4 linked regions of the Drosophila melanogaster genome follow. The protein of the gene in region 3 interacts with the protein of the main gene of each other region in a pairwise test. Each region holds a gene or a part of one and is shown on either strand. Other genes may lie near its edges.

What was found.
Region 1: the proteins of Cpr64Ad (region 3) and Boh1 interact in a two-hybrid assay, tested with the Drosophila melanogaster proteins (one large-scale study listed by BioGRID).
Region 2: the proteins of Cpr64Ad (region 3) and CG17826 interact in a two-hybrid assay, tested with the Drosophila melanogaster proteins (one large-scale study listed by BioGRID).
Region 4: the proteins of Cpr64Ad (region 3) and stops interact in a two-hybrid assay, tested with the Drosophila melanogaster proteins (one large-scale study listed by BioGRID).

What each region holds. Positions count from the first base shown.
Region 1 is NT_033777.3:27,916,917-27,922,386, forward strand, and holds Boh1 (buddy of Hmr 1), read right to left. Parts: upstream 2,545-5,470; 5' UTR 2,368-2,544; coding exon 1,342-2,367; 3' UTR 1,268-1,341; downstream 1-1,267. Other genes in the region: mRpS22 (mitochondrial ribosomal protein S22), read left to right, coding at 86-1,267; CG12259 (uncharacterized protein), read right to left, coding at 2,999-4,078; BCAS2, read right to left, coding at 4,454-5,215, 5,283-5,357.
Region 2 is NT_037436.4:11,947,290-11,954,133, reverse strand, and holds CG17826 (uncharacterized protein), read right to left. Parts: upstream 4,296-6,844; 5' UTR 4,262-4,295; coding exon 4,234-4,261; intron 4,176-4,233; coding exon 1,948-4,175; 3' UTR 1,909-1,947; downstream 1-1,908. Other genes in the region: obst-G (obstructor-G), read left to right, coding at 841-906, 962-1,735; CG7252 (uncharacterized protein), read right to left, coding at 4,928-6,330, 6,391-6,412.
Region 3 is NT_037436.4:4,212,495-4,217,855, reverse strand, and holds Cpr64Ad (cuticular protein 64Ad), read right to left. Parts: upstream 2,478-5,361; 5' UTR 2,407-2,477; coding exon 2,392-2,406; intron 2,317-2,391; coding exon 1,588-2,316; 3' UTR 1,442-1,587; downstream 1-1,441. Other genes in the region: Cpr64Ac (cuticular protein 64Ac), read left to right, coding at 4,983-4,994, 5,057-5,361; CG43367 (uncharacterized protein), read right to left, coding at 1-199, 262-386, 451-619, 678-1,065, 1,129-1,272.
Region 4 is NT_033777.3:31,164,924-31,171,876, forward strand, and holds the start of stops (slow termination of phototransduction), read right to left. Parts: upstream 3,682-6,953; 5' UTR 3,551-3,681; coding exon 3,104-3,550; intron 2,503-3,103; coding exon 2,403-2,502; intron 1,537-2,402; coding exon 1,427-1,536; intron 1,357-1,426; coding exon 1,253-1,356; intron 1-1,252. Other genes in the region: Gycbeta100B (guanylyl cyclase beta-subunit at 100B), read left to right, coding at 6,086-6,410.

The sequences.
Region 1 (5,470 bases), on a different chromosome or scaffold from region 3:
CAAGCAGTGTTGGAAAACACCGTGCTGCCCTCACTAATTTCTACACCCGTCTCGTGTATTTTTGTGCCTGATTTACTGACTGAAAATGCACCTGCTGCGGAGCCTGCGCCAGCTGAATGGCCTCCAAGGAGTGCGCCAAGCTATCCGGCAGGTGTCCTCGGCGCCCACCAAGCCCGCCGCCCTGCAGTACGAGCGCGATCCGCAGCCGCTTTTCACGGATGCCGAAACCCAGCGGCTGCTCCAGTCCATGACGCAACTGAACTTGGACAAGGTGTATCGGAAGCGCACGGTGCCGGACAACAGCAGCGAAACGAAGTTCATGAGCAACGAGCAGCTGGACAACGAGTTCCAGAACTTGGTGGTGCGGGCTCAGCAAATTCTGCAAATGCCACCCATTGTGCAGATCAAAAAAGATGTGGAGCGGGTGATAGCCAAGGATACGGCGCTGAAGGACTTCGCCAACTCCAAGTTCGTATTCACGGACATCACCTTCGGCCGACGGCAGTCGGAACGCAAGGTAATCGTCCGGGATATGGACGGAACCTTGGCCTACGCCACTCTTGATACCACGAAGCGCATGAACCAGTTGTATTTCCCGCTGGAGGGTCGCCAGTCATATACTCCACGAATGTTCGCGCTGGAGGAGCTGCTGGCCAAGTGCTTGGCGGAGCACAAGTACGAGTTCATCCTGGATCGACTCTTGGTGCAGTACGAGCCACATGAGCCGGAGTTCCACAACATTTCAGCGCGTGTGTTCGAGCATCTCAACGAGTCCAAGGAGTTCGATCTTCTGCGCTCCACCCGCCACTTTGGACCCATGGCCTTCTTCTACGCTTGGCACCGCTGCATCGACGACCTGCTGTATGACATGATCCGTCGGGATTATCTGCACAATGCCGTGGAGCTGATTGCTCTGAGCTACAAGCTACACAACATCCCAGTGGAGTATCAGGCAACGCTGACCGAACTGGGCAAACTGCATGCCACGCCGGCGGAAAGTGCCCTGGCGGAGCTAAGAAGCGTCTTCCGACGACATGACAATAAGCAGAACATTGAGCAGGAGATCCATACGGCCATTGGCAAGACGGAGCACGATTTCGCCGCCGATGAGATCAGCCTGAAGTTCATTGAGCAGTACATCGCCAGCGAACATGCGCTGAAGAAGGTGCAACTGGAGCTGGCGGTGCAGACGCTTAAGGAAGTTAACCGGGAGAAACTGATGCTGTTCCAGGGACTGAAAAAGGCTCACGGCGTCCAGGCTTCGTAGGATCTATTCGCTTTATTGTTATCGATTTCTATGTACTAATAAATACCAGCTAGGTCAAGATTTCTATACGCTGTTCATAGCTCCTTCTTGAGGACCCTGGACAGCCGTCTAAAATGGCCAAGGATGCACTGTCTCCGGTGCCGCAGGCATACCCGCTCGCTGCTGAAACGCTTCAAGCAAACTGAGCAACGTCTGGGATCACCTCTTCCATTGGGCAACCCGTTGTGTTCGCGAAATAGGACGACCACTTTCGCCTTGGCACAACTCTGTTCTTTTTTTCGGTGTACCAAAAGAGAGGTGGTGGTCTTGAAGTAACGTTTGCACTGAAGACATCTGTAGCACTTCCTGCCGCTATGGTTTCTCAGGTGCCTGAGCAACTGCATCTCTGAGTGGCTCATGGCGTTGCAGAGTAGATGTGGGCATTTAAAGAGCATCGATGACTTCCTGGGCGCTAGAGCGGGACAGCTCAGACTGTGTTGCTTCAATTGTTTCTGGTGGTCCAGACGCTGACCACAGCGAAAGCACAGAGCACCAGGTCCATAGTGCGCGGTCATGTGGCTCTGGTGCTCCAGCAAGGTTTTGGCCACATCGCCGCACACCGCGCACTCCATCATGCCGTTGGGAAATATGAATGTGTTCTCGCTCACGTAGGTGAGAAATTTGTCGGAATTGGAGGCCTCAGAACCGGTATCCTTTGGCCGTTCCTCTGGTAAATACCACTCCTCCGAATCGCGACGGCATTGAATGCCCGCATCCTTAGTGCCCGCATTCTCTGTTTGAATGGCGCGCTCTCTGCGCGGCACCATAGCCTCGTTCGCAAACATTCCAGTGACCTCGTTGAGTCTCTTCTGCTGTACGGATTTCTTGGGAGACTCTGTAGCGCCTCCATTGGTGATCGGGGCATGCAGTTCTTTCACTGGAATGCCATTCTCTATCGCGTACTTGCGTGTCACCCACTTGGTCTCCACGCACACGTATTCCGGCAGCTCGAAGACGGGCAAAGGGATAGACTTCATCTGAACAGGGCTGTGGCGTGGTGGTTTTCCGGCGGATATCGGTTGACCGGCCAACGCCACCTTTGCCGGTTGCGCCGGGTACATTTCGTTGGTTCGGGGTTCTCAAATGGCACTAAATCGATACGTATCCGAAAAATGAATTCACATTTTACTTGGAACTTATTTTATTTTTGTTATTAATTACGCTTGCTTTTTATAAAAAGACGCGAATTTTACTGGCGCAAAAAATTCAATGTTGCTATTGGTGCTGGCGGGCTAGCTTTTTTCCCGCCATATCCGACTTCTTTTGACTATTATGACAGTTGGAATATTAAAAAATTAAAATAAAATATAAATCTAACAGTTCTTTTTTCATGGCAATCAATACGAAGTGCTGAATAACTGCATGTTCTCTGATTATACTGTGTTTATAAACTAAAATTTCTACCAAATTTGTTTAGCAACAAGTTCTCTTAACAGTGCCATTTTAAATAATTAGGGGTATTCTTATGAGAAGTATGACATTTTCTAATGAATTCAAAATTGTATTAAGCAAACATAAATTTGTTATATATTTTATATTTCATTCAATGCCTATTATAATAGTTTAATTAAACTGATTGTAAATCTGGTGGAAAAATCAAATAAAAATTGTAGTTATTTTTCGTTTGTTTTGATGTATTAAATCAATCATTATTATATTGTACAATTATTCGGGCAGAAACTGCCCTAAGCACTACTTTTTACTCTTATCCTTGTCCTTGATGGTGTACTTGTCGTAGGACTTGGTGGGATCGTAGGGCTCCCATCGGCTGGCTGGGAAGATGTGCTTGTTGCGCTCGTACCAGGAGCGGAGGAGTACCTTTCCGGCATGGGACTCCTCCTTCTCCACGGAGGCGTCGCTTATCATGCGCACATCGTCGTGGACGTCGAACTGGAAGAGCGGGCCGGATTTGCCGCGTGCCTTGGTCACGATAAAGTCGTAGAAGGAATAGTGGTGCGGCAGGATCAGATCCTCCTTGACGTACATCAGCTGGTCGGCCATTACGGTCTTCAGTTCGATGAACTCCTTGCGCAGCAGCTCCAGGCACTTCTGCAGAAACTGGTAGATGGAGTTGCCCTTCTTCATCAGCACGTTCCGCCGATGGCCGGAGCCATCCCAGTAGCTGAACGTGATGGAGATGTCCTCGTCCTTCAGCTCCGCCTGCTGCATTACCCATTCTTGACGCAGCTGCTCGCGCAGTCTGTTCTCCTGCTCCTCGCGCTCGCGATCTGGCAGAAAGGAAGTGTCCACGTCAGGATTCTTGCATATCTTCTTCTTCTTTATGGGCAAAATGTCTTCCTTGATCTCCGTCCACTTGGGCTTGGGCTGATCCTCCTGCTTAATCTTCAGCTGTTTCTTATCGTGATCCTCGTCGTCCTCCTCCTCCTCCTCCTCGTCGTCGTCCAGGTTGAAGGACAGCGCCTGGATCTGCCGCTTCTGCTTGTTCTTCTCCGCCTGAATGGCCTCCAGGGCGCGCTGCTTCTCCCGATCCTTTTCGTCCTTCTTCTGGGCGAGCTTCTTCTCCCGTTCCCGCACTATATCCTCCTGCTTGGCCTTCATCTCGTCGAGGGTGACCAGACCAATGGTCGAGGACTTGAGCTGCTGCTCCACGGCATCGTAGTGGGTGGCAAACTTGTTCTCAATCTTGTCCAGCTTGAGCTCCTCCTCGATCTTCTTCTTGCGAAACTCGATCTCCTGCTGCTGGATCTCCCGCTTCTTCATCAGCTGGGCTGCACGGCCCGCCTCGCTGGCGGCACCTTTGTAGTGGGCCATCCTTAGTTGTTTCTGTATTTATTTATATTTTTTTTTATTTAATTCGTAAACGAAATTTGTAAACATCCAATTGGTGTGACCGTAGCAGAAACATTGAAAAATGCCATTCTTCGTATAAAAAATTTACAGCACAAAACACTACCTTACCAATTTGAAATAATAAAATATTTAATCTTGAAATTATTTAAAATTTACTAGCTGTCCATTCCCCTGATATAAGAGCAAAAAGAAGAGGATCACTATTTCTCTGCAACGATTTTGAAAAATAAAGATAAATCTTAGATTTTTAGCTGTTTTTTTTAATATCCTTTATATTTAGTTACAGTCGTAAGTTTTTCTTTAACTTGCTTCATGCTTTCGCTCAGTGTACTAAATCTACGTTGATCCATTGGAAGATTCCTCCTGTGCCTCGGATTTGTCCTCCTCCTTGCTGTCACCATCGGCATCTGTTCCATCATCGCCAGGTTGGCTTGGATCTGGATTGCTGGAGCTACTGCCGTTGCTCTCGGCCAAATCGTTCTGGTCGAAACCATTCGTGTATTCCGGCGTTGGAGCCGTGTCATTGGCGCTGGGCGGCGGGGTAATCTTCCGCAGCTGCTGACGGGCGGCATGGACGATCTTTTCCAGCTCGACGCACTCCGTCTCGATCTCGTAGTTCTTGGAGACCAGCAGCACCCAATGGGCTTCCAGGGAGCGCAGTCGCTCGCCGGCCTGCGTTTGCGCCTGCTTGCGCTGCCAGTTGACATCTTGAATGTCCTTCTTCAGCTGCTGCAGCTGGAGCTGCGCCTTCGCCTGCATGGCGGTGAAGACCTCCAGGTAGGACTTCCATGCCTCCGTGCCGTAGTCGAGCATTAGCTCCAGGTTGAGAGAGCGCACCCACTGGTGCTCCAGCTGGGCCATCGAGTTCTCAATGGCCTCCTGCCAGGCGGACACCTCCGACAATTTGCCCGATGGCGGCGGTGGCAGTTCGTAGCGCTTCATGGAGAGCGTCTCCATGGGCAGGCGGTTCTGGATGCGCTCGAACTCGTTGGCCATCAGCGGAGTCTCAAAGGGCGAGCTGGCGGGCAGTGGCAGATGGTCAAGGTAATTTTTTGTGGGCCTATAGCGCCGGCATTCCTCCTCCACCATGGCGAGAGCCTTTGGAAGAAGAAGATGCCATTTCAAAGTCAGTTTCAACGTGCAACATGGATATCCGTATATTTACCGATTCCCGGACGCCCACATCGTCATAGCCGTGATCTATGTAGGGCAGAGCATCCACAATAACTTCGCCAGCCATTATTTATTATTAATTTCTGTGTTTTGAGACTGTTTTTTCCGCAAGTAAACAAATACAATTGCCGCTTCGCACTAGTGTGGCACATTTAGCTACTTTATAGCTATATAAACGGA
Region 2 (6,844 bases), 7.7 Mb from region 3:
TTTGTGGTTAAGTTTGTGTGTGAATGTCACAAAGTCTTGGAATTAACTGAAATGGGATCGCATTTTTGGCACTTTCAACAAAAACATTTTTCAGCTGATAATGACTAATAGTATAGATAACATTCTATTGGTCAAGGAAGTAGACAATTGGTTATTAATAATGTACGATGATAAACATCTTTTCACTTTTGTTTTCGTTATAATTAATTTCGGTGAGATATGACAACAATTAAGTTCCCCGAAAGCATTCCAATCTCTATATTAAACAGATATTGCAAGTAGGCACCCAATGTTTTACATTCTTATAAAGAACGGGGTTTATTGTTCGTTACGTGTTACCTACTTTTAGGCATCATTAGATAATGGTAATCAGAAGATAATGATAATAATAAATATTGAAGAAATATTTTAAGGCAAATTGGTCTAGCTTACCCGCTAAAGAAGGCAGGTAAAAGATTTGCAACTAGATAGATCTAAAAGTGGTCGATTGGATGTCTTAGAAATATGATACTTTTCATTCACTAAAGTATGAAAGATTTTATGATAGAACGTCAACCCAAAACAAAAATGGTCTTGAACCTGGGCACACGTTCATATGTAGGAATGCCACCTTTGATCAGACGTTACATATGTTTTATATGAACTCTTATCAATTCTGAGTAAGAAAATAAAGATAGTACTCATATTCGAGTAACTCTATCATATGAACAGTACAATCAGATTCTAGCATTTAACATACTAGCAAATCATGCAAATTACTTATAAATGCTACTCTATAAAAACGCAGTTCAATGAATGGAAAGTTTCAGTTCGATAAAACACTCGATAGCATCACACAAAATGAAGCTATTTGGACTGCTCTGCGTAATGTTAGTACTTCAAGAAAGTACTCTGGCTGTTGTACAAGTATGTTGGAAAACATTCTTAAAAGTATGAAAAATTAGAATGTTCACTTTCACAGAACGGATTTGCGTTCAAGACGTCCTTATGCGAGGGTAAAAATGGTGGACTCTTGCCCATGTTTGGATCCTGTAAAGGATATTACGTGTGTGCTGATGGAAACGCTGTGACCGGAACTTGTGAAAAGAATACGTTGTTTAATCCTTTAACGTTGCACTGCGATGATCCTGACAATGTGGATTGCATTTTCGATGGCAAGGATAATATTGTTGACGACACGTCAAGTTCTGAAAGCGACGAAGACGATGATGAGGAAATGGCCAAAACTGATCCTCCCGTTACTGTCAAAGCGACGAAAAAGCCGCGTCCTACAACCCTTGACAAAATGTGTGCTGGCAAGAAGGATGGAGTGATGCTTACAAAGAACGGGTCCTGCCAGGAATATTATGTCTGCAAAGCAAAAAAGCCCCATCTGCGCTCTTGTCCTGACAAACAACATTTTAGTCCAACTCGTCGCATTTGCATGAAGGCCTCAGAAGCCAAGTGTTCGGGTGGAACCCGAGAAAATAAAGAATCAGATGGTCCTGCCACCACGGGAGGAGTGTGTTCAGATGAAAAGGAAAACTCTCTTGTTGCTCATCGCAGCGATTGTGGCAAGTTTATGCTCTGCAGCAACATGATGTTTTTGGTAATGGACTGCCCAACTGGCCTGCATTTCAATATAGCCACATCACGATGCGATTATCCCAAAATTGCAAAATGCCAGACGAAGCTAAATGAAAGCAAATCCAAGTCAAAGAAACCTGTGCGCAAGTCAAAAAAACGTCGATTCTAACTATATTTTTTTAAGACCCCAATAAAGTGCTTGAATTATAATAATTTTTAATAGTCCAAAGCCTAAACAGAGAAAATATAGCCACATCATATAGTACTAAAAATAAGGGGAATATTTTCTATTCTCTGCTTAGAATAAGTAGTTTTTATCTATAGAAAAACGAAAATCTTTTCGTTTAATACTCTGCTTTAAATATTGTTTATTGAAACCACTTAGCACTTAACATTATCGGGCCAATCGCAGGATTTGACCTGCAAATTGAACAAAAGTCCAGAGGAACAAGTGAAGTTCACCTCACACTCGCACTGGCAGACTACATAATTAGAACTACAATCTCCGCTGGCATCGGCGAACATGGTACCATCCCGCTGGCCAACGCATCGTCCGTGGCTCTCGCAATAAGTTCCCGAGGGTCCGGCAATCGGACCACTTGGCGGTGCAGATCCATCGTCGCATTGAACATTTTCGGGATAATCGCACTGCTCTATTATTGAATTGTATTGCAGGTTGTTGGAGCACCGCTGCTCATATTTGTTACCATTTACGCACTGGTAGAAGGCGGAGCAATTTTTCTCCACGGGCCAGATGGAATTGTTGGGCACATCGCAGCAGTCGGGATCGCAGGTTTTGGGAATGCACACATTCTCTGTGTCGACCTCGCATTCCTTCAGTGTGGTATTGAAGAACTGCGTAGCGGAGCACTTCCTGGCCACAAAGACTCCGTTTATGCACTGTAGGTATCCGGCGCAGTCCGCAGGATTCACCTTAACCTCATTCTCAGTGCATGTCGTTCCATTTCCGTTGCACTGACCATTATCCACATCGCAGACCTCTGACTGGCTGTTCCAGTAGTAACCACTGTCGCAGGACTTGGTCACATACTTGCCACCGGAACAGATCTCATACATGGTACAGTCGGCCAAGGGTTTTGTAGATCCCTCTTTACAATTGACACATATTCCCTCGTCGTCTTGTACACAAGTCTCCAGTGTGGCATTGAAGTAAGCTCCGTCGGCGCACTGCTTGCTCACCCAGTTACCGTTCGAGCAAGCCAAGTAGCCTGCGCAATTGGTGGGGTCCACCTTAAGTTCGCCATCAGTGCATGTCGTTCCATTTCCATTGCACTGACCATTATCCACATCGCAGACCTCTGATTGGCTGTTCCAGTAGTAACCACTGTCGCAGGACTTGGTCACATACTTGCCACCGGAACAGATCTCATACATGGTACAGTCGGCCAAGGGTTTTGTAGATCCCTCTTTACAATTGACACATATTCCCTCGTCGTCTTGTACACAAGTCTCCAGTGTGGCATTGAAGTAAGCTCCGTCGGCGCACTGCTTGCTCACCCAGTTACCGTTCGAGCAAGCCAAGTAGCCTGCGCAATTGGTGGGGTCCACCTTAAGTTCGCCATCAGTGCATGTCGTTCCATTTCCATTGCACTGACCATTATCCACATCGCAGACCTCTGATTGGCTGTTCCAGTAGTAACCACTGTCGCAGGACTTGGTCACATACTTGCCACCGGAACAGATCTCATACATGGTACAGTCGGCCAAGGGTTTTGTAGATCCCTCTTTACAATTGACACATATTCCCTCGTCGTCTTGTACACAAGTCTCCAGAGTGACATTGAAGTAAGCTCCGTCGGCGCACTGCTTGCTCACCCAGTTACCGTTCGAGCAAGCCAAGTAGCCTGCGCAATTGGTGGGGTCCACCTTAAGTTCGCCATCAGTGCATGTCGTTCCATTTCCATTGCACTGACCATTATCCACATCGCAGACCTCTGATTGGCTGTTCCAGTAGTAACCACTGTCGCAGGACTTGGTCACATACTTGCCACCGGAACAGATCTCATACATGGTACAGTCGGCCAAGGGTTTTGTAGATCCCTCTTTACAATTGACGCATATTCCCTCGTCGTCTTGTACACAAGTCTCCAGTATGGCATTGAAGTAAGCTCCGTCAGCGCACTGCTTGCTCACCCAGTTACCGTTCGAGCAAGCCAAGTAGCCTGCGCAATTGGTGGGGTCCACCTTAAGTTCGCCATCAGTGCATGTCGTTCCATTTCCGTTGCACACGCCGCAGGTATCTTCAACGCACCGATTTAGGGTCGAATTGAAGTAATCGCCATCTGGACAGGTCAGGATCACTATGATTCCGTCCACGCACTCTAAATAGCCGGCACAGTCATCTGGATTCGGTGTAATTTCTCCATCCACACAGGTTGGAGGTCTGCATTGACCATCATCCACGACACAGATATTTAACTCCGAATTCCAATAGGATCCGCTTGCACACGACTTGGATACAAATTCGCCGTGACAGCAGATCAGATACTTGGTACAATCATCCGCATCCACTTTTGTGTCGCCCTCCGAGCAGCACACAGCACTTGACGATCCCATAAAGAGGGAAATTATTAGGCACAGGGCCACTCCTGGGTAAAAACCGCGGATCAACAATCATCCTCCCAATTATCATTGCTCCGTCCTTACCATAGTGTTTAGTTCTGGATTGGGCCATCTTTGCACTCTGCGTATCGAATGCTCACTGATGAATCTTCGCTCGAAGATATCGCCTTTTATATTTACCGGCAATTAAAATAATTGAATGTCTCTTCCTGCATCAGAGCATGTGGCGGTGATAATGTCGAAACATCCGTGATACTATCAGCATATATATACAGTAGTAATACAAGCAATCGATATTGTCACTATTTATAAAACTCAGCGGTTCATTGTGAATCCGCGAAATCAAAGAGTCCAAAAGAAATTATTCTTCAGTTGCTATAAGATGCTCATATATGAGAAGTCTTAACGATCGATTGAAATTGAAATTTCAATGCGCCATAGTGCATATATGTATAAAGAAGAACAACTACTGATAGGTACTTACCTATGTGAACTAACTATTTTGAAGCTTTATATTGTGATAGCAGTGGTTGGACCAGCTACAAATTCCTACAGGAAACATACCCCTTCTTTATTAAAAAAAAAAAAATGGGTATTTATGTTCGATAAGCTCTTGCCAATCTCATTGAGTGCCGACACCTGTTGGCATATTCCCGCCACAAAACTGATTAAAATGATTTACTGATCCAATGTTTCATTAATAAATGGGCAGATTAGGCTACATCCTAGTAGTAGTAGTTGCTTTGATAATCACTTTCTTTATTTGCCAATCGGTCATTTAAAGAGTGCAGGTCACTTGGTTCTTATAATTGCAGGTCTGCAAGCTTTCGTCCCAATACAAGCCATCGGCGCACTCCATCTCGACCTCGCATTCACACTGGCAGACGACGTAATTGCTACAATTTGTGGTGGACTTTAAGTAGGTACCCTCACGTTGTCCCATGCAACGGCCATTACTCTCGCAGGCGATTCCCGAAGGTCCTGCATTGGGACCAGAGGGTGGGGTATACTCCCACGGGCAAACATAGTCCTGGGGGTATTCACATTCTTCGGTATTTGGGTTGTAGACCAAGTTGTTCGGACAATATTGCTCGACGGCGCAGTTGAAGTTACACTTGTAGAACATGTTGCACTTGCCTTCCACCGGAAAGAGTTCTCCCTCCGGCTGGTTTTGGCACACGGTGCTGGTGGTATTGCACTCCACCTTGGGCACATAGTTTTCAGGATAGTCGCACTGGTCTAAGGTGGCGTTGTAGACGAGGTCACCGTAACATTGAACCGCCGAGGAACCAATTGCGGATTTAGTGTCCTTAATCCAATCACACACTTGGGCCGTCTCGTTGAACTTCAGACCCTCGGAACAGGGCATCGCAATGGGGCACTGGCATTGGCAGACGAAGAATCCATTCGAATTGGGGTCCGCAATCATGTAGCCATCCCTCTTACCAGCGCATTCGCCCTGACTGGAGCAGGTGGTGCCCGATGGTCCCTCGATCTCAGTGGAGCCATCGGCGGTGGGGGTACAGTCCACATTCCACCAGTAATCGCAATCGTCTATCGCCGTGTTGAAGTACAGACCGGAGGGACACTGGAATTCCTCGGCACAACCATTGTTGCATTGGATGAACCTCACGCAGATCCCGGGCATATCTATATAGGTGCCAGTTTTCTGATTAACGCAATCCGTGCGGGAACTTTTGCAATACGAGGGCACCACACTTGGACTCGAAGGCGTGGTGTTGGAGGAGTTGTTGGGGTCATCGAAATCCGTTGTAGCATCCGTCGGCTCCGTGGAATCGGAGGGTTCCGTGGCTGAAGTGGTGGTATCCGGATCGCAGTCCTCGGTGACCGCCGTGGTAGTTTCATCGATATCGTCAATGGGATCCTGGCACTCCTCAGCACAGCAATCGCAGGTACACTGATCATCCACTTCGGCAAAGGCCGAGAGTCCCAAGCAATTAGCTCGCCACTGGAAGTCGCACTCCCTCAGCTCCCGATTGAAATGGAGTCCACGAGGGCAGCTACCGATAATGGAAACCTCTCCCTTCAGACAAACGACAAATCGGGAACAGTGGGTGGCCAACGGAAGTCTAGTGCCATCTTCCTGATTTTGGCACACATTCGTCAACTGGGCTACCACAGTTTGAAGACCTCCGATAAGCAGCAGAACGGTCCAGAGACCTAGGATACGGACCCGAAATAAGTTACTAGCCTTGGGTAGCCAACTCTTCACCAGCTTACCCCCAAAATCGATTGGTCGCATTCTTCCGAGATCACCTTTAAAGTAGTCCGAATTTCGCGAACGACTAAGTGGCAAACCAGGCCGTGTAGCACCATTTAACTGCCATGAGTGCGCCAAATCAGTAGTCAATCTTCTGATAATACCAATCACCATACGAATCTCTCGATTAATTCGGCAATGATTTGTTTTGCGCCAGAACGCTATCGCAGGTGTAATTAGGTGTGTGTGTCTGAAGCTCGGCACTGGGATTCGGGCCGGGCTGCCTTATCAAGACCTGAACTTCAGTGCCTCCAACCTGGAGAGAAACCAAATATTTTGGCATAGGTCTACGGATTCTCGACTGCTGAATGGGTACCGCCCCGGCGTCTGCCTAATTTACGTTCTGTCGCACACTCCTAGATAACCACATAACGTATACCTAATCACTCGATTCACTTTATTGACACTTGAAAT
Region 3 (5,361 bases):
ATTGTCGATCGGCCACATCGAAACGACCGCTCTGCAGATCAATGTGCAGCGAGGTGAACGGTTCGACGCGAAGCAAATAGTGGAGCACGCCGGCCGAGTTGGAGTAGTGGGTTCCGTAGTGAAACTTTGGTATGGCACCAGAGGGGTCCTCGAATGAATCATATTTGCCGCGCACTTCGGCCTCGTTTTTAGGATTTATCTGCGGTAGAAATGCGTTTGTCATGTAACTGATCACCTTTTTCTATTTTCAGTAATACTTACGCATCCAATGGGTTTGGATAGGTCACGGAACGATTTTGGATCGGTAAGATCCAGCACGTCACTGGTGTAATCAGCAAGGATCCAGGGGAAGACGGGGTATTGGCTTAGATCATTGTAGGATCGACCTAGTTATGTAAAATACGTTAGTTTGATAAAAATGTATGTAATAATCAGATGTTATTTGCTTACCTGCGATTGTGTTTAGGTACATCAAGTATTCAAAGTTGGAAATCTCACGATTGATCCATCTCTGTGTGAGTCCCGAGGCCCTAAGCAGCTCAGCCGGCGATCTTCCCGAGCCGTAGAGTATGTTTGGAAGCGGTAGACCCACGATTTTTGTGAAAACTTTATTTCGAGTCTTAAAGAAATAAGAACATTTGCAATGATCACATTTTATTTACAAAAAAAAAACTCACCTTCGTCGTAAAGTTGAGGAAGTAGCTAGTCTGATCCACCAGGAAGATTTCCAAAGCACTCCTGCGCAGATTGTACTTTCGCAGATGAACCTCACGTATCTTGTTGGTGGAGAACCTGAAATCGTATTTGGAACCATCCTCTGTTGGCGGGCTCAAGTCCACAAAGGTGAACACGCTCTGGTTAACCTCAATGCGTCCCTTCACCTTGGTCATCAGCGTGATCAGCTCACAGTCCTGTGACATGACTAGCTTCTCCAGCGCCACATCCTGTTGCGCTTGCGTGTCGATCAGTTGACGTAGTTCCTCCTCCAGCTGGGAACTTTCGTCATCCGCCAGGAAATCGCGCACCACGGCATTCTTGATGGTGGAGTCAAATTCAGAGATTTCCCTAAGATAAAGGATATTGAAAATCAGATTATGAAGGACACTACTAAGGACTGGCTGGGCTTACTTGGTGTCGTAGGCACTGGTCGCATTGTCGCGCAGATTGGCGGCATTCTCGTGTTTATTTGGATATAACTGAGGCTCCAATTTCAGACGCATCCTGGCCACGTTCTCATGTTGCGAAAGCTTCCAGAACTCTTCATCCACTTCCCTAAAAAGAACACCAAGTTTTAAGTGTAATCCTTAAAATATAAAGAATGATACATATAAATATTACCTATAAATATTAAAGCTAAAATACTTAAATAATTTTCTTAAGCCTCTATATGATATCACTCTCGTAATCCAGGATGCCTTTAAACAATAAACTACAATCTTTTGTTTTCAGAATTTCTTTAATTTTGGGTTTTTGCGATGAAAGTTATTCAATAGCTCGACAATGATTAATCGAATATGTACAGATGAAAGTCCTTTGTCGAATTGCGGTCAATACTTCCTTTACGACTCCTACTTCTCCTCCTTCTACTTAGGCGACGATGGGAGCGGCCAGGGTCTTGGCGAAGACTGGAGCGGGGGCAGCAGCCACAACTGGAGCCACTGGAGCAGCCACGGTCTTGGCCAAAACTGGAGCCACTGGGGCAACAGCCACGGGCACATCCTTCTGCACCACTGCGTTGAAACCGTTGATGGAGTCGGCGTAGTAGCTGACAATACGACGGGAACCATCGGGCTCGATCAGAGAGTAGGATCCACGGACGACATCACCATCACGAGTCTCCTCCTGGGTCTTGGAGTCACCGGTTAGCGTATCCTGGACATCGTAGGCGAACTTGTACTGTGGGTGGGCATCCACGATCTCGGTGGCGATGGGAGCAGCAACTGGAGCAGCCAGGGGAGCAGCAACTGGAGCAGCCAGGGGAGCGGCTACTGGAGCAACTGGGGCAGCGAGAGGAGCGGCGACTGGGGCAGCCAGGCGAGCAGCAACTGGGGCAACTGGAGCAGCGAAGGGAGCGGCGAAAGGAGCGGCAGCGTAGGTCTTGGACACCAGGGGAGCAGGTCCCGCCACCAGAGGGGCGTTGTATCCCAAAGGAGCCGCGTAGCCCAGAGGGGCGGAGTACGCAGCCGGGGCGAAGTATGGAGCAGGTCCCAGAGGGGCGGAGTAAGCCAGAGGAGCACCCAGAGGAGCGGCGGCCAGAGGAGCGCCAACCAGACCAGCCTGAGCCGAGAGGGCCATCGAGGAAAGGACTGCAACAACCTGTGAGGAAAATGCATGGAGTCCAGTTTAGTCTCCTGACCTGACGGGTTCACCGAAGCCATCACCAACACTTACCGTCAGAGGATTCATTGTAAGGCTTGGGTGGGGGTTTAGTGCGATTGTCACCGTCGGTTATCGAAAATGAACTGACATACCTTGGACAAAAAAACCACGACTTTTATACCCAGATGCGTTCGCGAAATTTGCATGCGGTGCTCCGTGGAGGGAACTGCGTACCAATTGCGTATGGTAGCCCATTGTCCGAGCTCCTTGCCCCCCGCATCATCACCATCGCCGCTTTTTGGGGCCGCCTCTTCCTACCCAGCATTTGGCTGCGTCTGCGTCTCGGGCTTTGATCCAAATTCGCAGCACGTACTCCAATTTTCAGTCGTCTTGCGGTGGCTACACCAAGTTTTCATTTTTATTTGCCACTGTTTTTGCCTTGTTCGGATCGAAAGTGAATGCGATTTGATTATATTTCGGAGCAGTAGTTTTCGGTAATTGTCATGCAGGTTCCATCCAATGACAGTGCTTTTAATTTTCCTTTACACCAAAAGCGCGAAACTTATAATTAAGTTACCATAATGACGTCGAGTTGACAAGGGTTCAAGCTCAAAAACTTAATATTAATATATCTCTGGGATAAAAAAGTATCTTTAGAGTGTAATGATCCTGATTTTGATGTACTACTTGAATTGGTTGTCTCAAATAAATTGGAAAGTTTCTTATACACCTTATTGGGTATCAATTACTTATGCTAATGAGTTACCACTTATACATAATAAGGGTTTTCACAAGGGGTTCGGTTTCACTTAACAAGGTGAAACTGGGTCAATGTGGCCCAGTAATATCGATTAGACTAATATATATACTATATACCCATATATTACTATTGTAAATCTATTGAAAGATTATCAACATTTGATACATCAATTATATTGATATTATTCTAATAAATGGCCATGCATTTGGTTTATGTTTCCATAAGGAGATTTTTAGTTCCTCCCCTAAACGACTTTGCTGAAAAGGATAAATCTTATTTTAAATTTAACATGCTTTCCTAACAAATATCTTCAGTAACAACAAGAATCTCTGGTCTTTTGGAATTTGCCTAACTCCATGGTTGATTAAAGATTCCCCATCGATTTCGTGCTGTAACTGGTGGCTGGTTTTGAGTTCGTGACTCTTTTCCTAAATGCAACCAACGACCTTGCGACTCGTTGGCTGCGGATTCACCTCGGAGAGACGCTGAGCGATCCGGAGAAGCGGAGAGAGCCCCAAAAGTTGGCACCAAATGGTGGTATTACTCGTCGGGTTGTGGTAGCTGACTAACGGTTGTCGGCGTAGATTGTCGCCACCGGAAACCAGCATGGATATACAGTCGTCCAATTTGGCCAAAGCGAATGGAATGCTCCACTGCCATTTATGCAGTTCCTTGCCCAATCGCTTGACTCTGCTCTGAGATGAGAATTAATTAAAAGTGGATGAAATACTAACCACAGCCACTTAGCTGCCAATTGTGAGCAAGGTCGCCGCGGTTAGAGCTTCCAAATGCCGGCTAAATGCTTTTTGGCCCGATCGAGGCAATTACGGTGGCTAAGTGACCGGGCTCAGCAATGTGGGCGCTGGTCCAGTTGGTCAGGTGGAAATCGGATCGTCGAGGGGTTAATGCGTGTGCCAGTGCGTAATTGCGCCTGCGTCCCGCCCAATTCCATTCCCTCCACCAAGCCGTCGAAACTTGCCATTTTCGTTTTCTAATTAAACGAGTGGCTGCGAACGATTGATCTTGTTTTTATACCCTGCACTTTGGGTGGGCACATTGGACATGTATGTTACTATGAAGATTACTCGCACGTCACGCAAACCAAGCGAAATTTGCTTGCGTTTGGACAACATGGCGTGTGAGTGATAATCGGCATAACTTAACAGCAGGCATTTCAATTACATATTCAAATATTGATTGAAGTATGTTCGCCAAATGAGTGTTTACATATCCAATTGTAATCTTGGTTTCATACATTTTCAGAAAATTGAGAGTAAATACATATTTTCATTAGGTCTTTGATGATATTAAAGATTTTTCTTGAAAGGGTACCTACAATCGCTAAAAAAGCACTGTCACTGTTCTTGTGGCAACTGCAACTGAAACTGCCACAATATGAGGCACTTATTACATCAGACAAATTTTGGCTGGAGAACCTGAGAATGTGCCAAAAAACGGCGAAAAAATGAAACCAGATCGGCCAGCGAGTCAGCGGAAAACGAGTCTGGTGTTGCTGGTAGCTGACTAGCTGGGTATCTTGGAGCGGCGCTCTTGAACGGACTCAAATGGACTTCGGTGAGTGGTGTGCCTCGGCAGCGGCGGCTGCAGTTATTCCATTGAGAAAAGCCAGCACCAATGATGAAATCCGCACCAGAAACACGAAATCCGCCATCAGCGATGAGGTCTGGGGTGCAAGATCGAGATCGAGATCGGGCAGCCACCAAATGAGACGCAATTGTCACTCTGCCCATTAGATTGTCCAGTTTTTTTTTCCGCTGGCAGCTGCCGCCAGTTTCGAATATAAAACTGAAGACCACGCGGAAAATGCATCTCACATTTGAGCTGAGTTCTCGCAGTGCAGACACATCCAAACCAGAGCTCCCTCATTCTCACATCCTTCGCCATGATTGCCCAGGTGAGTTGGCCAAAGGAGTGCAGCTTTTAGTTGGCTCAACTGATCATGGAATTCCTCGCCAGACTCTGTTCGTTTTGGGACTGATCCTGTCCGCCGTTGTGGCCATTCCCATTGATCCCTATGGACTTTCGGCCCCTGGACTCACCTATGCGGCTCCCAAGTTGCTTGCTGCTCCTGCCATTTCCTATGCTGCTCCCAAACTCCTGGCGGCTCCTGCCATCTCGTATGCCGCTCCTGCCATCTCCTATGCTCCCAAGGTCCTGGCTGCCCCCGTCGCTGTGGCCAAGGTGGCTGTTGCCGAGCCCTACGATCCCAATCCGCAGTACAGCTTCTCGTACGGAGTAACCGATCATCACACCGGTGACTC
Region 4 (6,953 bases), on a different chromosome or scaffold from region 3:
TGGCAATATGCTGCTCCAGCACTGATTTATGCAACTTCAACGGCATTTGGCCGAAACGTTTATTGTCACATTGCTTGTTTTTCTCAGCTCTTGGGTCGCACACTCCACACACACACTCCCAATCGTACACCCACATACATTTGCAGCTATTGACGCTTATTCATGACTTTGGCTGCTGTTTTGCGAGAGGGCATCATAAATGTCGTCTTAATGCTTGCCAGTCAGTATGTTTTTTGCCTTCTGTTTGTTTAAGAAGCGCAAACAGTCAACTCGGCAATGGTATGGGTATGGTATATCCAAGGGGGCGGGCTGTATCTGTGTGGATTAGTGGGCGTGGTGGGGTTGAGCATGCCTTTGTGCGCTTATTACACGCATTTTTGACTTTAATCCTCCGAAGTGCTGGCGAACAAAGCCGAAATAACAAAAGGTTTACATCGCTGCCTGTTGGTTTTCAGCTTATCGCATCAGCGACACTCACACACGGACCTCATGTGCATGTGGGAGGGTCGGAAAAAGAAGGCGGAAAATGGGAAACCCCCCCCCAAAAGCAAGCTGCAAATGAAAATCTTAATTATACATGACACCAGCAGAAGTGAGAGAAAGCCACCGCCAGTGATTGAGAGCCATTCTCTGTAAAAGTGTATTCGCAGTCGTGTCTGTGGTTGTAAATTGTCGCCATCTTTCACTCAATTATGGCAGTCACACACACACACACACTCTGTGTAGGTGCCACAACAATGGCTGATGAATTAATTTAATTAAAATCCTTTCATTTCTCTGGTTACCCTTCACGTTCGTCCACCATTTCCTTGCATTCCCAGCGGGTATTTATAGTATCTTATTGTTACCGAAAACATTATTATTGTGTGGAAAACTGGCAAGCCATTAAGATTGATCGGTATCTCGGCACATAATCCGAATTTTAAAGTTTAATCTTTAATTCTTGGCGATTTGCTTTGTAAGCAACTTATAATTTGCTCTGATAGCCATAAGCTAAGTGTATAGAAAGGCTTACTGTGACTGTTATGAAAGTAAGAGCTCTCCATAAATGTCCAAGCATACAGCTAGTATGAAAAACTCTTTGGGGGAATGAAGACCTCGGCATGGCACCCAGGCAACTATCCAATTAACCCGGCTAGTGTGAAAATCGCTCGAGGCAGCAAAAGAGCGCGACACATGAAAGAGTGAAGAGGGGGGAGTGGGGAAAAGGGGAGAATGTCAGGACAGGATGGGGACCGGGCTGAGGACTCACCTGAGCTGTCGCTCCTGCTCGAAGCGCGGAATCCAGACGGGCAATGTGAGCTGTTCGCGTGTGGCGTGCTTCAGAAAGTAAACCATAGCCCGGACATTCTCGTGCTGCGAACAAAGGACATACATGGGTGTCTATTCCACGGGGCCAGGAATAGGGTCTTTCTGCCAGTCTCACCTGATCCTGAAAGTCACTGCGCCAGCCGGCGATGAAGTGCGGAGCATGTGGTCCAAACAGGGCGCCCAGGAAAATGCGCTCATATGTCTTCTCGCACTCGTAAATGGCCACTGAATTGCACAAAAAGGGGATAAATTAGTCATGGGAACAGGAAAATAGTTAAAAGTTAATTTATATAAAACAAGCCACGTTTAATAACATTTCGAAGTGGGTAATGCCATAAACCAAATTTGTATACACATTGTGACCGATTTTCCCGCGATGCAGGCAAATTGTCGGTAGTGGAGAAAGCGGTTAAATAATGTCATCAAATCGCAGCAGCGCAGCCATAAAAAAGCTAATTACGTGGCTGCACTTGTTGCTGCTTTGGTTTTTTGGCTTTCGGTTTCGTTGGCTTTTTGGCACAGCCCAGAAATGAAGTCAGCGGAAAACGGAAACGGCCACAATGTTTGCCAAACCAAGGCCAGCGGGTCCAAAAGGCTGGAGTCAGCAACAAAGCAACTTGGTGAGTGAGGACAGGACAAACAAGGAGCAAGTTTTATTGCACACGAGTCCAGATTCCCTGACAGAGGCATGCCATTAATTCCAGGCACTTTTCCTGCTCGCAAAAGTTTACGCAGCCTTTTAATTAGAGGCAGCCAACATGCGTACGCCCCAAATAACTTGCAACACTTTGAGGCACTTTACAAGTTTTACGATGCAGCAACAACAGAGCAACAGAACGACATCAGCAACACTTTCTTAACGCAATTAGCAGAAACACGTGATTAAAGTGAAAACTGCCTGCTTATGGGCGTAATAATCCGATGCGATGGGATGATATTTATTAAAGTATGCAAAGCACACAGCCACGCCCAAAAAGCAAACAGGAAAGTCTTGCCACACACACACGCACACTCACTCGCATACGCTTACGCACACATACGCATACATATGCATTTAAATTAAATTATTTAGTTGGCCCGACTCCACTTACCCAGCAGCTTGACGACCACCTCCGAGTCCCGGACTCCCCAATCCCAGCAGGTGCGCAGTCCGATGTACAGGATGTTGTGATACTTGCCCATGAGGCAGACCTGGGGAATACGCATGGAATGGAGGGTGTGGTGAAGGGGCTGAATCCCAACTGAAGTGCTACTTTTTAAATTATAAATAATTGCCATATGAAGAGATGGCATTTAAAATGGAAGAAAATTAAGTTTAGCAGACTCTGCCAAAGGAAATTAAGCCCGAAACAACTTTCCATATTTATTTACACTCTAAAAGGTCAATTGGATCGCAGCAGCAGGATATACATATTTATGCATAGTTTTAGTACTTTTCTAACCGTTTTCTAGAAAGCTTTATTAAATTCCACTTTTATTCGACTCAAAAGCAAAGCAATGTTATTTGGCTAATTAATCATTGGTTTCCATTCATAAGGCTTGGTTTAAACATTAACATTTATTTAATACGACAACGAAATAGACTGACTTGGCTTTTGTTCTAATTATTTATTTCGTTTTTTTAAGTACCGGAAACTAATTGTCAAATCATTATTAATTAAGTTGAGCTTTGCTAAAGCCCAGTGCTAGTTTGTATGGACTCTTTTAAGTAAATATTTATTCATATTAACTATTGAAGTTTGGCACACAGAAATGCCACATTGGCAACACTCGATTTGTACATAAAGCTCACCTGGCCGTTCTGCTCCTTGGCCATTCGGTGGTACCTCATGGCCGCCGTCACCGCGATGGCGGCCACCTCATCCGTCTGCGAGTTCTGGCCGCCGCTGCAGCCCTTGATGATGGAGCTCAGGTGGTCGAGGACATCTCGCCGCGACTGGCGGTCCTGCAGTCCGTTGCGGGAGATCTGCTCGAAGGTGTCGTCGAAGAAGCACTCGAAGATGTAGTCCATGACCAGATGGCGGCGCTGGGTTCGCCGGTTCCGCTGGTGACTGGCCCTATTGGCAGGATTCCGACGCAGTTGTTCCCGCACCCGCAGACGCAGCCGTGCCCGTGACTCAGTTTCCCGGCGGAAACCGTAGAAATGCCGTGGAAATGGCAACCAGCAGCGAACCCACACAAATTGGCTTTTTAATTGACTTACCAGCCGCTGGAAAGCCTGTAGCAACTGCGAAAGCATATTGCAAACAAAATTTAATTCACTTTAAGTAGGCAAATATTTTCGATTGAGCTGAATTGATGATTCCCTCCAAAGAATTGAAATTCCGCTTCAAAAAAACTCCCGCACCGCTGAAGCCAAAGAGTCGCAATACACAAAAAAGAGAGAATTTCTTTTGCGGGGGTGACTCTCTTGCGCTATCGATTTTTTGCAGCTGGCAATGATGTGCTGGGAGAACTTTTGATAAACATAAACAACTCATAATGAGCATGCGGAATATTCATTTTAATATTTTTAAGCATTGCAATCATATAAGAAAATAATTACATAGTATGTAAAGCTTATTCAAAAGCTGATATACAGTTCAATTACTTTTTAGGCCTCTTTATTTCCGTGAAGCTCCCAGCAAAGCAATTGGCAAACAGGTGTTTGATTACCAGCCGACAAGTATATTTCTATGAGCTCTTCAAAAACCGAATGGAACTCGAGGACTCCATTGAAACTGATTCGATTCGATTCAATTCGATTGGTTTTTGCTAAACAGTCTATTGCACTTTGAAATTTGCTGGCATTTTTCCGAACCATTTATTCACTGCACGCAGCGCACTCACACAATTTTCCACCCCACTCATCAGCTGCCGCTGGAAAACTAAACAAACGAAGTCCAATTTCTAAGAACGCTCAGCTGTTTACCTAAGCGCTCACTCTCCCGCTTTCTCTCCACTCTCTCTTTGTACAGAGAGTAGCGGAGGTATTAAATACGCGTTTCATGAGCATAAAGCTAAATTAGATTCTAAATTGGAATTTTCAATTTAAAATATATAGTACATATGTATGCTCTCACATTATTTTTGTGCTAAATGGGTAATGTTTGGCGATAAGCATAAAATCAAATGGCGCATAAAAACGCAGGTTTTTGTGATTTTGCAATATTAAACTGAAAAATAATTGGTTTGTCATTATAAGGATTATGCTTGATTCAACAAAAATATATTTATTTCGAAATAAATACTGATGGTGTGCTGTTTAATGTTTCAGTGCTTTTTTCGGTTTAAATCATTAATGAATTTGATTTTACAACGGAAAACTGAAAACTAATACAAAGTCACTCGATACTTCATTCCAGAGTGAAACCGATATTATCATAAAGCGAACCGCTTTAAGCTATCTTTTTAGAGATTTACTAATCCCCCTTCAATGAATCCATTACATTTTCAAGGGGATCATTTTGAAATAAATATTGCAACAAATATTCATATACACGGATTTAAATCTGTAAACAATAGGAGTGTTTTCTCGAGCTTTAGCCACGTCAAATGTATTTTAAAACACGACTCCAATTGTCATGTAAATTTCTCAGCTACAAAATAAATTCATATTTTAAATAGCAATTGTGCACATTGTTTACATGTTTTTCTATCACCCTTTGCCAATTAATATTTGTTTATGCGGGACATATCAATTTTCCCATACATTATTCAGGCCCACTCATTCCATTATTCGCCGTATTTGCACGTTTAATATTTGGGCTGACAATTAAGCGCTGGGTAAATATTTAAGCACTGCCATAAACATTAATTAAGAACGCACACCAAGGGATCCAGAGATGATGACTGGGATAATCATGTCTGGTAGGGATTCCTCGGGTCCTTCGCCTTAATCGCATATGCAAATAAGTGTCGAAGGACATTCGGCACAGTGTAATTAACTCAGGTCCATTAAAACGGTGCATATTTGTGCTGGTTACCCAGGACAACATGGCAATATTTTCACCTGAACAGGCTCACCTGAGCGCTAATTAAAAGGGCAATGCAATTGTGGCCATATGCAGGCTATCCGATGCCGCAAAGGTAGCGAATTAATTGAATTAAATTCGTATCCAATCAGCGGCGTATTGGCCGTAAATATATGAGTCCGAATAAATGCAACAATGTGTGGTTGCACTGTGGTCGAGCCAAGCGGAAGCGGAAATGCACACAAGCCTGGCGAAATTTTTATTTCGCTTCCGTTTTATGCTGCACTCGATTGTGCGGGCACATGGAGCACAATAACCGAATTTACATAATTTCTGGCGATGCAATCTAATAGCTGAATAAGGGGTCTCCCACTGTGGAAATTACGATGGCAATTTATTGGTGTGCAGATTGAGAAAAAAAAACGACCCCCGAGATATACATCATTCAGAGTGCATTATGGCATCAGACCAAGTCCACAACGGAACTCCCTAACTCGAATTTATGTGACTGCCAAAGGAGTCACATCTCAAATGTTAAGCACTACTATTCTTTGCTTACTGAATTTGCTTGCATCTTAAAGATATAGCTTATACATAACGTTCTGTCTTTATTTCTCTTCGTAAGTGATATTAAAACTCGGTGATTACTTTGTAATTTTGGATAGAATTATTTACTGCGCTACTCTACTTAAGAAAGTTTTATTTACGAAATTTCAGTTTACACTATACTAAACCCCAAAGAAGAATAACAGTTGAGTTTACACAGTGCCTTCCGCCCTGAAACTTATGGCATCTGCCCCTTTTTCCTTTCCTTTTTGCAGGCTCCTCTGTATGGCGATCAACCAGGATGATTCGTTCCACTTGGAGTACCGCGGACCCGTTATCATGAAGGGCAAACCGACGCCCATGGACTGTTGGTTCCTGACGCGTGCCACAAGCAGCATTTTGGGAGGCACTTCCTCGACCGGAGGCAGTGGCGGCGGAGGAAACGGGAGCTTGGATTCGCCGCTGCTGCAGCCAGCCACTCCGACCGCTGGCGCGGCCACGCCCATTCCCGTAGTCGCCCAGCGGGCAGCAGGACATGCCAGCGTGTCACGTACTTCGTCCGCAGGAGGAGGAGGAGGAGGAGCGGTTGTGGGCACATAGGAACTGTGCAAGGACTCGTCCTGCTGCTGCTGAAACATCCTGTAAAGTTGCCACTGCGTGCGTGACTCCATCTGTCCGAATGTCTGCGGCCAAATCTGCAGGTCCTTGGACCACTTAACCACTTCATTTCTATGCCTTTGTGTTTGTCATCCTGCATCCTGCATTCTACGCCCTGTGTCCTGTGTCCTTTCTCCCGCGTCCTGCATCCATAAACCCAAGTGTGTGTTCTTGGCATTGTGTGATTGTTGCTGCTGGCACATTGCGGCCGGAGCCCGAGGAACGTCGGATCGTTGTGCAAGGTAATTTATGTTAATGCTCTTCTATCTGCAACCATTCAAGCCAACCATCCGGGCCAACCACTTAGCCCAGTCACTTTACAAATGATTTACATTTCTCGTGTCTACGCTGGAAAAACCATCATTTGGGTTTAAGAACTGTGTAGATTGTATTGACTATCTTTTACTCACTAAGTGGAAAGTATGAATTTAACCTAGCTTTCACTTAAACTTGTGCTATCTATGCAAATGTGGTTAGAGTTTAACC